Drosophila melanogaster: one gene and its partners. The protein of the gene in region 1 interacts with the protein of each later gene in a pairwise test. Each region holds a gene or a part of one and is shown in the gene's direction. Other genes may lie near its edges. The genes, in order: CG5217, CG16852, CG3625 and Nplp2.

What was found.
Region 2: the proteins of CG5217 (region 1) and CG16852 interact in a two-hybrid assay, tested with the Drosophila melanogaster proteins (one large-scale study listed by BioGRID).
Region 3: the proteins of CG5217 (region 1) and CG3625 interact in a two-hybrid assay, tested with the Drosophila melanogaster proteins (one large-scale study listed by BioGRID).
Region 4: the proteins of CG5217 (region 1) and Nplp2 interact in a two-hybrid assay, tested with the Drosophila melanogaster proteins (one large-scale study listed by BioGRID).

The regions. Positions count from the first base shown.
Region 1 is NT_033777.3:19,246,520-19,249,852, reverse strand, and holds CG5217 (uncharacterized protein), read left to right. Parts: upstream 1-1,716; 5' UTR 1,717-1,825; coding exon 1,826-2,063; intron 2,064-2,174; coding exon 2,175-2,584; 3' UTR 2,585-2,801; downstream 2,802-3,333.
Region 2 is NT_033779.5:13,539,191-13,542,176, forward strand, and holds CG16852 (uncharacterized protein), read left to right. Parts: upstream 1-1,560; 5' UTR 1,561-1,609; coding exon 1,610-1,874; intron 1,875-1,935; coding exon 1,936-2,384; 3' UTR 2,385-2,456; downstream 2,457-2,986. Other genes in the region: CG9263 (uncharacterized protein), read right to left, coding at 2,485-2,801.
Region 3 is NT_033779.5:282,881-287,625, reverse strand, and holds CG3625 (uncharacterized protein), read left to right. Parts: upstream 1-1,899; 5' UTR 1,900-1,992; coding exon 1,993-2,193; intron 2,194-2,657; coding exon 2,658-2,878; intron 2,879-3,370; exon of another isoform or gene 3,371-3,415; coding exon 3,416-3,740; 3' UTR 3,741-4,241; downstream 4,242-4,745. Other genes in the region: amnionless, read left to right, coding at 1-224; CG11601 (uncharacterized protein), read left to right, coding at 4,479-4,745.
Region 4 is NT_037436.4:13,354,675-13,357,795, forward strand, and holds Nplp2 (Neuropeptide-like precursor 2), read left to right. Parts: upstream 1-1,701; 5' UTR 1,702-1,924; coding exon 1,925-1,969; intron 1,970-2,052; coding exon 2,053-2,178; intron 2,179-2,333; coding exon 2,334-2,423; coding exon of another isoform or gene 2,424-2,522; 3' UTR 2,523-2,549; downstream 2,550-3,121. Other genes in the region: CG17687 (uncharacterized protein), read left to right, coding at 1-175.

The DNA.
Region 1 (3,333 bases):
AGAGATGGGCAGGGAAAGGGATTGTGTACTGCCAACAGCAGTTTGATTGTTATTGCCAATGAATGAATGCACTTGCTCCGAGGATTTGTCTGCCAGACGACCAACTTATGAGTTTCCATCTACAACTCCGGTCCAAGAGATGCGGCTCCTGCTCCAGCTTCGTTTGCCCCGAGGGTTGTGGCAACACATTTTGCGGTCTGCAGTTGCAGCTTCTGCTGTTTCTGCCGCTGCTGATGCCATTGTTCCCACTGCCCCACCGCAACACTGCACCACAGTTGGATCCCTGCGCCGCCACCAACTCCCATCCAGCGCGATGGTGTTGCTCCTGCGTAAGCCTGCAGGGGGTGTTTATGCTGTTTGTTGTTTGTTATTTGCCGTTTCGCAACTGTGTGTTGGCAATGAATTGGCTGCAAACAACATTTCCGTTTTGGCCATTATATGGCGCCCACTCTACAAATGGGCGAGCATAATAGCCGGAGGGGGAGGTGGTGCAGTTGGGGTTAGCTCCCCGTCGCCGCTGACATTTTCACACTTTTCAGCGGAGTGGGTGAGCAGCTGTTGGCGGCGGGCAAAAGGATTGCCTTGCATTATCCTTGTTCATTTCCCTTATACTTTTATTACTGATGATTTATTGATGTCCCTTTGTTGTTGGCGGCGTGGGGTTTTTTCATTAACTTTTTATCAAAGATCGGGGGTTGGACATAAATAAATGAAGGACACGAGCAATCACTTCAAGGGTTATGAAAACTGCCAAATTAAAGGGCAAACATATGAAGTATCTACTACCGTTAAACAAGATACATGTATAATGTTTTAAACGTTGTTTTCATTCACCATTCGTTGGTCTTCTTCTGATGCACGGTATTGCACTCTTATAGTAAGTAATTGATGAATTTTAATGGCTTTCAAATTGGTACGATAATGTATATCTGTTTTTCAGAATTTCAACACCTTCGCCAGACAATAGCATGCTGCAAGTGCCGCAGCAATTGTCCATTGTTTCGGGTATCCTGGCCAACCAACCGGCAATACATAACTACATAAATTAACGGACCTCGATTCCAGGACCAGGACCACGGAAAGGGATCGGGCCAGAGACGTAGGGATGGCGCAGTGTCGACAGCAGGAATCGCCACCAGCTCTTCAATTGATTTTGCGAAAGCACTTTGTTGGTGGGCCCCATCTCAGAAACGGAACACTGCAGCACTAACTGGACAGCGGACGGCGGACAACGGACGACGGACTTCGAAGTTCGAACATTTGAGACAATGGGGCAGCAGCAGCAGTAGCATAACAAGGGGTATTGTGTGCACGTATTGAATGAATTGCCTTTGGCTTTCATTTCAGCTCTTTTTTCTGGGGCTGCAGGCTTCAGTCCAGTTTGGCTTTGTCCTGGCCGGGAAACAGTTCGATTGCGGGAGAAAATGAAATCAAAGTCGTATCAATTTGAAACCTGTTTCGATGTCGTTGTTAACACATGTTAACCAAACGTAGCCAAATTGCCAAGGAAAATGCAAAAAAACGTGGCAGCAGAAATCGAAATTGATATTGTTTTTATCTACATGAGTTGTTAAAATTACAATATATATGTAAAGTACCAATCTCAAACTTATAAGGCTGTAAAATCCTTTTTAAACTCACTTAACTGAATTCTACTTTTCATAAAAGGTGACAAGAACTAGTTGACTCTGGATTTTCTGACACTTTGCATCTGGTGTTCAATTCAACAACACCAGTCACATTAATCTTATATTTCGTACAAAACCGAGCCATATTTTATTGTAAATAAAATTCGATAAAATTTCGGTGGACATATTGGACGAAGATGTCCAGTCTGCAAGATATTCCGCTTGCCGACCCCGAGGGCCTGTCTGTGGAAGGTCCCGAGGTGGCCCCCGCTCCAAAGTCCAATTCCTTGAAGCGCTTCTTTAAGATCAGCAAGAAGCCAATGATGCGCGACCAAGTGGAGGATGACGACGAGACATCCTCCCAGGACAACAAGGACCTGGGAAAGTCAAACACTATAAGTCGCTTCTTTACCCGGATGAAGGGAGCCAATAAGGGTAAGCTCTTTTGACTGGTATTAAATATGATTTGTTGAAAAAAAAATGATTGCCTAATGACTTACAATTAAAAGGAGCTCTTCTTGAATAATCATAAACCCCACTTGCCAGATGTTCAAGATCCTTCGAGCTCGGTGGTCGAACCCGTGGAGCAGGATAAGCCGTTGCCGAATGCAAAGCCCACGATTAAGACATCCATTTCATCCTACTGGAAGATACTGTTCAACCGGCAGAAGAGCCAGCGCCAAAACGCAGCTTTAGGGCAGACCAATGCCAATAAAGAGGATAACGAGTCTGAAGAAGTCCATGAACTGCAACCAGTAAGCCAAGATCCCGATACCGATCCTCAGCCGACAGTCAAGGATGAGCACGATGAAATGGAACGTGGCACAGATCCGGAGCCACCCAACCCGAAGCCCAACAAAAGTGTTGCCAGCAAGGCATCCGGTCAGGAGATTGTCAGTGCCTTAGAGGGCGGCCAGCTGTCTACCAATGATCACGAGAATGCGGCTTCCATTTAGCCGTCTTCAACTAACACTAATCAAACCCGATGTCTAGTATCTCTACCGATCTCGAGGCAAAGGTTTAGAAATCAGTTAGGGAGCTGATTCAACCTTACACAATATATACTCTTCAAACACATCCCTGCTAACTGACATACATACAAGAACAAACATTTTCGCTTTGATTCCACAAATGATAATTCCGAGCTCACGAAATAAACACATACAAGACCCCAGTATGTTGTCATGTCATCCTTTGTGGTAAATCCATCCGTTTTTGTTCGTCTAAGGGGTCACAGAGTTCAGTTAAATCGGTTGTTAAAACGTCTTCACTGGGGGGTTTTGATTACCTAAACGAGTTTCATGTTTTGCGTTGCAAACAGTGGGGTTAAAAGGTGCCGCATGAGCCAGACAAGCCCGAGAATTATTTGAGGTTTTCACTTTCGAGGGAAGCCCTAAAGATGAGCCACCCCCAAAAGTTGGCTAACTAAATCACGTAATGAGTATTTAATTGTTGGAAGGTGTGCTATTAAGGAATAAGGGTGCAGAAAGTTTTATTTTAAACTTTATTTCAGTATCAGTATACCAGTGCAAATTTCTTGGCTCAGTTCCAAAGAGGTAGATATAGATATATCTCAAGAATGAGTAGTTTTCTTATCTCGTGTCAGTACTTTGGAAAATCTGAAACACACCAGTTGCATATCAGGATAAACAGCTGGGCGATGTTTACCAACATTGAGCACAATCTGCGCAAACTCCGGACCCGA
Region 2 (2,986 bases), on another chromosome or scaffold:
TTGGCTTTGTTTAAATCCATTATATGAGACGGACAGCACGATCGATTTGCGTGCCCCTCGGTGCCGCCTCAAAGTAGGCAACACAAATAAAGCTTAACATCATGCCGCCGAAGGGGCGAATTGGGAGCTGCGAGCTGGCGGATAAAGGATGGTGGCCACTCAATCCCAGTTGTTCTGCTTCAACACTTTCGCACAAACACCAATCAACTGGCAGATGAATCAAGCGCAGGCGTTGGCTGCCCAGTTAAGCCCACTCCGTAGCACCCACAGTCCACACAGCCCACGTAAACACCATGCCCCCCATCTTCCCGCGCCCTGAATTCAATTTTTTGGACAGGCGACAAAACTGCGCCACAAAGGGGGAAAAGCGGAAGCAGCGGCAAAGCAGGGAGATGCAGTCCATGGCAACAGCATCATCCAAAGGCAAACACACTGGCCGGCACATGCGAGTGGAAAATCAATAACGTGTACGTTTATCTTATTTTCTCGTCGCAGCGTCTGCTGTCGTTTCATTCCCCTTCTTTCAAATATATATAAATATAAATCTTCGGCGCACTTAAGCCTTTTAAATGATAACAATGGCCGGACCAAAAGAACCATTCCTTCCACCTCTGTTCCCTCAACAAGCCAACGAATAAAAAACACGACCACTGAGTAGCAGGTGCGCACTGGACACCAAAGGACTTACTCTACTATAGGACAGCAACGAGAAAAGTTCCACATCCAAGCCCCTTGGATTTTGATTTCCACACTGCAAATGTGCGTACTTGCTTGCCACATGCCACATGTATGTACGTAGCACCCGGACAAGTCGAGATATTCCATGAATTTATTATGTCCCCTCTGCTTTAATAGAGTTTCATCGAAAAGTTTCCCTCGAACAAATTATGAAATATACGGAGACAGCTTTTTGCCATTGAACGGAAATTGTGGTTTAAATCTGGGGGATGAATTTTGATCTAAAGCGAATGTGCACAAAAAAATATATCAGATAATAAAATGGCAGTTTATGTGTGGCCTGAAGCAAAAGTTTTTATCTTATTTTATTTATTGTGTTGGTATATTAAAGTAGTTGTTTGATCTTAAATTTCGGGGTAAATGTTTTTGACCTTGCAACTTCCAATAATTATTAAAATAATTACATATTTAGACGGTTCTTTTTTTGAAAGTCTTTTGAAAGTAAATTCACCAGGCAAGTGAAATCTCAGTTAAGGAGCTACCCTATATTTTGCTTTGGTTCCTAAAATGCACTTATGCAAAATAACATTAGTGCAGTAGACCGTCATAATTGTCATATTAGACAGGAAAATCCATAGACGACAGTCGACCCTGAAGTGTCGATGGACAGCAGCTTCTGGTTTTGCCCGGCCAGACAGGAAAGGAAATTGCTTAATTTAGCGCAAAAATTATCCACTGGCCAACGAGGCTCAATTGCCGGTCTGCCATGGTCGTTTGAGGCAGATGATAAAGCAACCCTTTGCTACGAATTTTTAGCCAGACTGATTTTAAATGACAGAAATGGTAGAAAATAAATTTAACTCACACTCATGATTTTCACACGAAAAACATATTGAATCACAAAGGCAAGGAGCGACTAGAAGAACTCTACATGCTTAGTTCAAAAAGTGACACTTCTGGAGACGATATCTCTATAACTGCACAAGCAGAAAAAAGAGTGGATGATAGCATCAGAGCGCCATCTATTGGCTGGAATGCTGAGCACAAAGATGTTCAGATTCCAAGGGACCAACTAACCCACAGGCAGATCAGCAAGTGCAATTTGTTTGAGGAATACATCAAGCTCCCAAAGAGTGAATATGGACAAACAAGCCGCATGAAGCGATTCCGATCCGAAGAGTTAGCTATTAAGCAAGGTAAGATAAATGTATAATTCCGTTCTTATTGAAGGGCTAACAGCCTTTGATATCTTAACAGAAGATCAAATCGTGGAGCATAGATCATCGAGTCTTTCGCGGCTATCGGATGTCACAATCAAGCCCACCTGCGAGGTGAGTAGTCAGACTTCGTGGACAGCAGCGGACGAGAGTAATATGAATAGCAAGGATTTGGAGGCGAAGCTGGCGGCTGTACGCGGCGGTGGTATCGATCTCGAAACGGACAAGCCCAGCAAGATCCAGCAGCACACGATCCACATCGAGGTGGAGTCGGTGACATCGGCCACGGCTATGCAAAGACCCCCACTGCACCAAAGGATGTGGCAGGTCCTTGTGCAGACGGCGGATACGATTGTCGCATTCGCCTCTATAATCGGCGAGAATTTAACAGTGGCACTCTTCATTGTCCTGTGCCTGTGGTGCCTTTACCTCTTACTAAGCCACTTTTATGGCAACTTGCAGACCAATGTCGGCATGCCGTCCAAATAATTGTAATAAGAATGATTCGTTTTGCACGTGATTGTATGAGTAAAAATGCAGTAAACAGAATTAGCAGAACAGAGTTCCAACCAGCATTGCGCATTCTAATTTATCTCAACATATTGGGTGTGCAACAACACATGATGGCGAGACTACAATATAGTGCCGAAGCGAAATCGGTTAGCATATAGCAAAAACGATCGGCCAGCGGTGGTCGACCTAGTGCATTTGGAATCTGCATGGAAACGGCATCGATGAATATCGTGTGACGTGTCGATTCGCAGGGTGCCAAAGCCGGGGCAAAGTCCACAGGACAAACTCTAATGCGCCGGCGCGGCTGTTCCGTCTGCACGCCGATCGAGTGGATGTCCTTGAGCACATCGCTATCCTTCTTCCTGAAGATCTCAACATCGTCTTCCGAATTTTCTGCGGGTTGATACAGTTATAGTAACTATACTAAATAAATGCGGGTGACATCTGGTTTCACCAAAATGAAACTGTTTATGGATTTATGACAGTAGTGTTATTTTTCAGAGTTTTCAAGGACAACTCCAAGAGACAGTTCCTATCTTTTTTTTATAGATTGGTTTATGCATTATTTTGATATTTTT
Region 3 (4,745 bases), on another chromosome or scaffold:
CGGAAAGTGGCGAGGTGAGGGAGCGAGCCTTTGACAATCCGATGTTTGAGCAGGGAGGAGCTTTGGAGGAGGCTGCCAAGGAGTCGCAGGAGCAGGATGAAATCCTGAGTGTCCCCAAAATGGAGACTGGTGATCTGGACGCCAGAAGTGTGGTGGATGAACAGGAGCTTACGGAAATCAATTTGGAAACCTGCGAGGCGGACACCGACGAGGAGACCATCTAATTAAGATTCTCAAAAATAAGACATAGAAACCTGATTCGAAAGCACCAATGGAGCATCACGTATAATCTGATGTACAATTTTAAGATTGTGTGTTCTATATATGTATATTAATAGATCTGCTTATTAAAGTATTTGTTATGATTACATTATAAATGTTCCTGGGCGCAGATGGTCCAGTAATTAACTCTATTTACAAGTTGTAGGCGGATCTGCGTGAATATTTTCGGATATTATTGTTCAGTGAATCAATTACTAACGCACAATCGATGCATCGCGTGTAACGAAAGGGCAAAGAACCAAGAGAGCACCTGATAATTTTACCAGGTAATTCAGTTAGCGGTGCCTTTTGTCGCGATGGCCTTGTTCCTTGACCTTCACAGGGGGTGGATTGGTGGTGATGGGACCGGGAAACGATAGTTGCCATTAGCTGCGAAGATATTTCCAGAAGCCTTTGTCCCCCGGCTCATAAATGTGGCTCATGTGTATCCGTATCTATTCATAGACACGCTTGGGAAGGCACGTGCCTCCCCCAGTTGCCATAGGATATGAATCCGTAGATATGCACGGATCTAGGGACGTGGGACGGAGGCGTACCGATGCGGATTAAGCGACCGCTTTCGGATTTCATTTTAGCTTCTGCCAATTCATTCTGAAGTGGAAATACTTTGTACTACGGCGATTGAGAGTGCGGGTGATAAGCGCACCTTATCAGTTTCAAAGCGAAAGCGAAAATACATACAGTGAACAGTCGAGCATGTTGTAGCAATACTTTGAAGAGTTTCACGATTGTTTGGAGGTGTGCTTAGTGAGTGACTACTGTATGCAATCGTATATTCCTTGCTGCTAGTGACTGGACTCTGGCTACTCCACAATCAGTACATATCTGGCACCAGGAGATTCAACATGGCCAAGCCCAAGTCAAAATCGACTAGCAAAGGTTCCACTTCGCCGGGTTTTAACAAGGCGGTGCAGTTGCTCCTCCATTTTACAGCCGTGCTGCAGTTCAACTATGGCGTGTACATCTTCCACACACTCGACATGCCCAACACGGTGCCCTTCGGCGGAAAATTTAAGTTCCTAACTTTTATTTGTGCGGTAAGCCGATGCGTTCATATCGAAAATCTCTACACCGGTTAAACGAAGGCGATGCATAACTGGTTTTTGATTTGTAATGGTCTGATGTTCTAGTTCGATCCCATACACTCAAATCTAATCGCTTGTAGTCAGTAAAGATACCTTTGGCCTAGAACAATGTATTTTGATACAACCTGAATGATATGTGGCTTCATACGGTAGACGAGAGTGAATATTTTAGATTTCGTTCATGATTATCGTCAAAGAATTGACTTCAACATCAATTTCTGAATGGTTTTGAAGAAAATAATATTTTCATAAAATTACATCACGAATTTATAAATTAAAAACAAAAAATTCATACAAATTCAACAAAGCTAGTCACAATTTAAAATGAATCCACATCTTCACAGATGTATTCAGCCCACAATCAAAATGTTAAAACTTTAGCTCATATTAAATCTCGATGTAGCTTACAACCCTACAAGGGGGTACATACATATATGTGTATATCCGAACACCTGGTATTGCGGCCCTGCTTCGGCTCGGGCACACTGTTCCACCGCTCGCCCCTTTTTTTGGGGTGGTTCCGACTCGCAAGCAGTAGTACTTTCGGAGCGACAGACCAGACCGGTTTGTTTGTGTTTTGGTGCCGTGAAAAATCAATCGAGAGCAGAGCAGCTGCAGCAGGAAAATGGCATCCGTGCGAGGCAACTCCGTGTACCAGGGCGTCTACGGGGCTCTGAGGACCCTGCTCCACCTGACGGCAGTCGTGCAATTTGGCTACGGCATCTATTACGACTACAACTACGTGCAGTTCCCCACCAGCGAGCCAGAGATGAGGATCCATCATCCCTGGGGGGGCAAATTCAAATACCTAACGTTCCTGGATGCGGTAATATCCATCTCCCATTAGAATCACGAACGCAGCGTGGTTTAAAGTTCACTCCGATTGTTACTTGTACGCACGCATCTATTAAGATACACAGAGAAAATGAATAGGACAGTAGTTAGAATCATGGGCTTTTCTTGAGTGATGAAGAGGATTTGTCAAGGTCTCCAGTGTATAAAAGTTAGAGCTTTTTGAAGATCTTATATGGAGAACTTTCGCTAAAGCAGTTTTTACAATAAATATATATATATACCATTCCACTGCAAAGCAACTAATTGAATCCCTCCAAATTCAGTGCTTTACTAACAAACTCACATCTCGCCTCCTATTGTCGCTGAAATTGTACAGGAAATGCTTGTGCAACGTTTTTTCGCTAACTGTAATTCCTTCCACTTCACTTAAGCAACCCTTCAAATCTAGCCGCTTTCGCATTATCTCACACACGTCAAATGCTCTTGCACTTACAGATAATTCAGGCACTGTACTATATTGTATCGCTGGTCAACGATTTCGTGGGCACTAATGAGCTGACACCCAAGAAACCTCCGGCGGTTCGCAGGTTCAAGGACTGGCTGATGGCTACATTGGCCTTTCCAGTGGCTATCAATGTGGGCGTGACCTTCTGGACACTGTACGCTATCGACAGGGAGCTAGTCTTCCCCAAGGTTCTGGACCCCGTGTTCCCCAGGTAAGACCTCGAAAGCTGGTGATATCAAGGTGGCCTGGCTGGCATAAGGCATATTCTGCTCAACAAATTGAATCATGACCAGATTAGCATTCTAAGCATGTCTAATTCAAGCCATATCCATTTTCTATACCACTGACATGCCTATTTACGGTATTGTGTTAATTGTGTTTCTTTATATCCAGGCTTTTTAAGTTCGATTTAATTGGAACTATATCTTTCAATTATATATATATCCTAACAAGTACTCATACATTTGAAGGAATTAGATCAACGTTTTTCCTTTCATTTCAGTAATAAACCATCTTCATAAAATGCTACTTAGACACTAAACCTTAAGACCCTATAATCTCGTTTTGGGGCTCTGGTTTTACTTTCAAAGTAATTAATTTATTCAGATAGCTTGCTACGACAAAGCTTGAAAGATGTGTACGTCATAATATATTTAGGGATAAAATTAAAAAAGTGGTCTGAAAAGTCTTGATTTCACCCATTGTTTTTTCATGACACTCTGATAATATCTTCGCTCGACTCTTTCAGCTGGCTCAACCACGTCCTGCACACCAACATAGTGGTTTTCATCATCCTGGAGCTGTTCATCTCGTACAGGTCGTACCCAAAACGAAGCCAAGGACTCGCAGGACTGGCCATTTTCATGGGCGCCTACCTGGTTTGGATTCACGTGGTGAAGCACTACTCGGGTGTGTGGGTGTATCCAGTGCTCGAGGTTCTCCAGCTTCCGCAACGCATCCTGTTTTTTGCGGCCGTCGTTGGATTCACGCTGTCACTTTACCTGCTGGGCGAGTTCCTCAACAATACCGTCTGGGCCAAGGAAGTGAAGTTGGCCAAGCGCAAATCCAACTAGGAGGCTGTGACCCGTTTCTGTTCGATGTAGTTGCGTTAATTAGCCACAAAATACAAATAGTGATTGACAGGTCTCGATTATACATTTTGCTCATATTGTTCGATCTTCTCAGCCAAAGAAATTTTTCATAAGTATGTAAAATCGTACTGCAAAGTTAACTGAAGAAGGCGTACAAAATATGTGAGAAATAATAAACGAAACTTGAAACATCAACTCGATAATATATTTTCCAGTAATATTGAATTCGGAGTCTTTAATCATAATATGGAAACCCGTTTGCTAATGATATTCATTATATTTTTATTACGCATACATTGTAACTGAAATTATAGCCGTAGTTTCCATTGAGCGCGCGCGTCTTTCGATAAGTTTACTAGACTAACCAAAATACAAAAATGCCTTCTCGATTAAACTTCTCATATCAAGCACACTGATTCAACGCCATCTTTGAATACCACTGTTATTCAATTCTAGTACCATAATAAAGCGATTAAACTCTTCATCAGCTGCGAAAACTGTTTTAAGGTGGGAAGCTTGGAATAAACTGCTTTTCAAGATCAGAGAAACGTCAAGTGGCGCTATCATATCGATTTGGCTTTAAAAAGCTAGTTCTAGCTTAAAAACGCCTCCTTGCTGGAATGAAACTCGACGTGTGTTGCGCCCTAATCAGCTGTTGGCTAGCTTTATTTGTTTTGTTTTGCTCAGCGTGCGGTGCCCTTTGCACCTTTTCTGGAGGAAATGGGCAAGAGCAAGAAGCAGGTGCGCGAGTTCAACGCCGCCAAGGAAGCTGTCGAGGCCACTAAAGCCCAGTTGAACACTTGCAACGATGCCTATACGAGCGGTGCCTTCAAATACCTGAGATTCCTGGTCCATCTCCTGGCGGCAGCGCAGTTTTCGTATGGGATATACTTTCACTACTTCCGGGTGCATTGGCCCACGGATTTGCTAGACGAGGATGAACTGAAGGCGCGGTGGGGCGGCAAGTTCAAGTACCTTACCTTCTTG
Region 4 (3,121 bases), on another chromosome or scaffold:
GCAGATTAAGACCCATCGGCAGCTCATGGAGAATGTCCGCCGCAACTACGCCCATGTGCTGGAACTGCAGACGATTCTGGAGCTGCTCCGTCTGCGAACCTACCCCACGTTGGGTCCACCCCTGCCCCAATGTCATCCGCCAGTGCCGGAGCATATCCTCAGTTCGGTGCCCTAGGAGAACTTCAACCCGACCAACCAACAGACCAGACCGTGGGGCTAAGTTTTAGCCACTTGGCGAAATTGCAATTAAATATTTTCATTCCGCCAAATGAAAATTTATTAGTGGTTCTGGGTATCTGGTCTGGGTCTTCTGACTCGTGCTGCCACTTAATTGGGTTTGTTTGTGTCTGGGGAAAATTACGAAAACGAGGCATAAAGTCGTGCACTTTGAGCTCTGTTTGCTGTTTAGTTCGTTGCTCCCGAAACAAACTCTACTCTTGACTAACTACTTTTGGGGCTTAAGTTGGGGGAAACCCTTCAGCATCGCACTTCACATTTATTGTTTTAATGAATTGCCCTTGAAGACACGAGAGTTGATCCGAGAGATCAAACTGTTGCAATATAATACAAATAAAAAACCCCGATTGTCACTTTATATGGCTATCATATCGTGATTACGCTAAAAATACGGCAATACACGACTATTATTCTAATTATTATTACCTCTTTTAACCATTACGTAATCTTCGGATTTACTCCGAGCAGTAAGCCCTTATCTATTCAGCTTTCAAAACCAGAGAACTGTAATTTCTTTACTAAATATGCGAATTCATCATTTAAATTACTTTAACCCCTGGAGGTGAGCTACAGAATACACTATTTTTGTTAGTTCAGTTTTTTTACCGCAGCATCTATGTTGATAATAGTGTTTCGTTATTTCTATTCGCCTTTTAAGATGAGTTCACCATGCTAAATTTACGTTTTTGATATCCAAAGTCTACAAGAGTAGCTCTGTCTAAATATTCTGAAAGCGTTGTTTGGTTTGCCCAAGTCCAATCGCATTTGCATTTCTCCAACTTAGCTTCGCGTTGGAAATTTCCGGGTTGCTTCGTCAAATTTTCTAATACTCGGTATTATAAATATTTATTTTGCGCAATTACATAATTTCGAATGTAGGGCGCCTTATCAAAAGCATTTAAAAAAAACCTTATCACGTGCCACGTGCTTTGCATTGATAGCCGGTAAAATGGAAATTATAGTATAAAATAAAATTGACTATATACCTGTTACTCGTACAGAAAGTCGACTATAGCGTTATCTCTTCACTTTAACTATATATAAATATATATTTAACTAAAAAAAATGCTTACAGAAATATTAAAATATTTGGTCTTTAATGAAAAAAACAAATAAAAGTAGATAAACAATTCCGATTGCTGGATCGAAAGGCCTTCAGAACAGCTTAGCTATGCGAGCCATTGAAATGATAAGCACACATTGTAGGATATGTATATTCCAAATTTATACAGTGGTAATTCCATAATTATTTCTTGTTGAAATTCAAATTAAAAATATTCTTAAATTATATATTTAAATCTTTGTTACGGGCCAAGTGCTAGAATACTGGATTCGAGGATAGGGCAATACCATTAAGTCCTACAGAGATTAACTATTTGGCGGTTGCATAAAGCGGTTATCTTCTGTGACTAAACAAATGTAGACATTCTTGAGCCAAGCAAACGCTCAGCTGTTATGCGAAGCAATCTATTCCAGCATGCTACGGAAAAAAGTACGCTTATCACGGGTCAGCTCCGTAGCTCTAAACGCTCGGCCTTCCTAGTGCCGATAAGCCGGTCTCAAATTCGGCCGGCTGCGGCGCAAAACGAGGTGTCGTTATGAGTAGTTTGGCAGAGGTTCAATCAGTACTCAAGTCATCGTTCTCTAGTTCAGAGTTCCGCAGCAGTTACAAAAAACCAACACAAAAATGGCCAAGCTCGCAATTTGCATCCTCGTGTTCGCCCTGTTCGCCGTAAGTAAAATGCTCAAAGTCCTGGCACACAGATGCAGGACCTATTTTCAGAGATAAACTACAATGTGGCACTTTGATTTCAGTTGGCTCTGTCCGCCCGCGTCCCCCGTGAGGAATCCAATCCTGCCCAAGAATTTCTTACCAAGGCCCAGGGTGATTTCAACGAATTCATTGAAAAGTTGAAGGCGTTGGACGCGAAGAAGGTTGAGGTAATTATAAAGCAATCATATCAAAAATAAAGCGAGTTCTAAGTAATTAATAGTCATTTTTCGTGGAGACGCTTAAAACTCATTCTATCCACTACATACGTATTTTCCATAAAGTATTTACGAATTTCTAACTAACAACTTTTCTCTCTGTGTAGGGTCTCTTCAAGGATGGATTAAATACCGTGCAGGAGGGTCTGCAAAAACTTAACGAAACATTTCTTCAGGCACCAGCCGCATCCACCTAAGACGTTGTTGGATGGCCATATATCATTACATTGAAAACGACTCCAATAAATGTTTTAACTTTAACTTTAGTTGTTACATACATGAAAACTAAAAAATGAAATTAAAACGTTAATTGTTTTTAGCACAAAAACATATATTTGCCTATTACTTTAAAAAATTTTTCCATTCCACTTTCTAGAATAGCTATTTTATTACCTTAAAATTGGTAAAATTGAGATGTTTAGATTGAAAGATGATTTTTTTATTTATATTTCTTTTATTCTGAGAAAATATGCTTCCACGCATGAATTTGACTTGGTTAGGATAAAATTATTATAATTATGCCAATTTTTATTAGTACGGCCACCGAAAATGGTTAATTGCACTTCCTACAAGCTAAGTTATGGAACTTTTCTATACCGTTTTCACTGTGTTATTAAAGATTTTAGATGCTGAAGAGTGCTGATCTCGCTCTTCTTCGAAGAAAATTGCAGAAAATCAAAAATTATTGCCATGATTTGAGTTTCGTAAGAACAACTGGCTTTGAAACGGTAGCACGCGTGAAATATTTGTCAGCTATTTTGCACACCTGTTTGGCGCAGCCAACTCGGGGAATGGAGGACGAAATGTGAGGGCTTTCGAAACCATGAATAATGTATTGGCATTTGTACGGCATCGCATCTCGGGGAATCCCCTCCGATCGCCCAATCTAACTTCA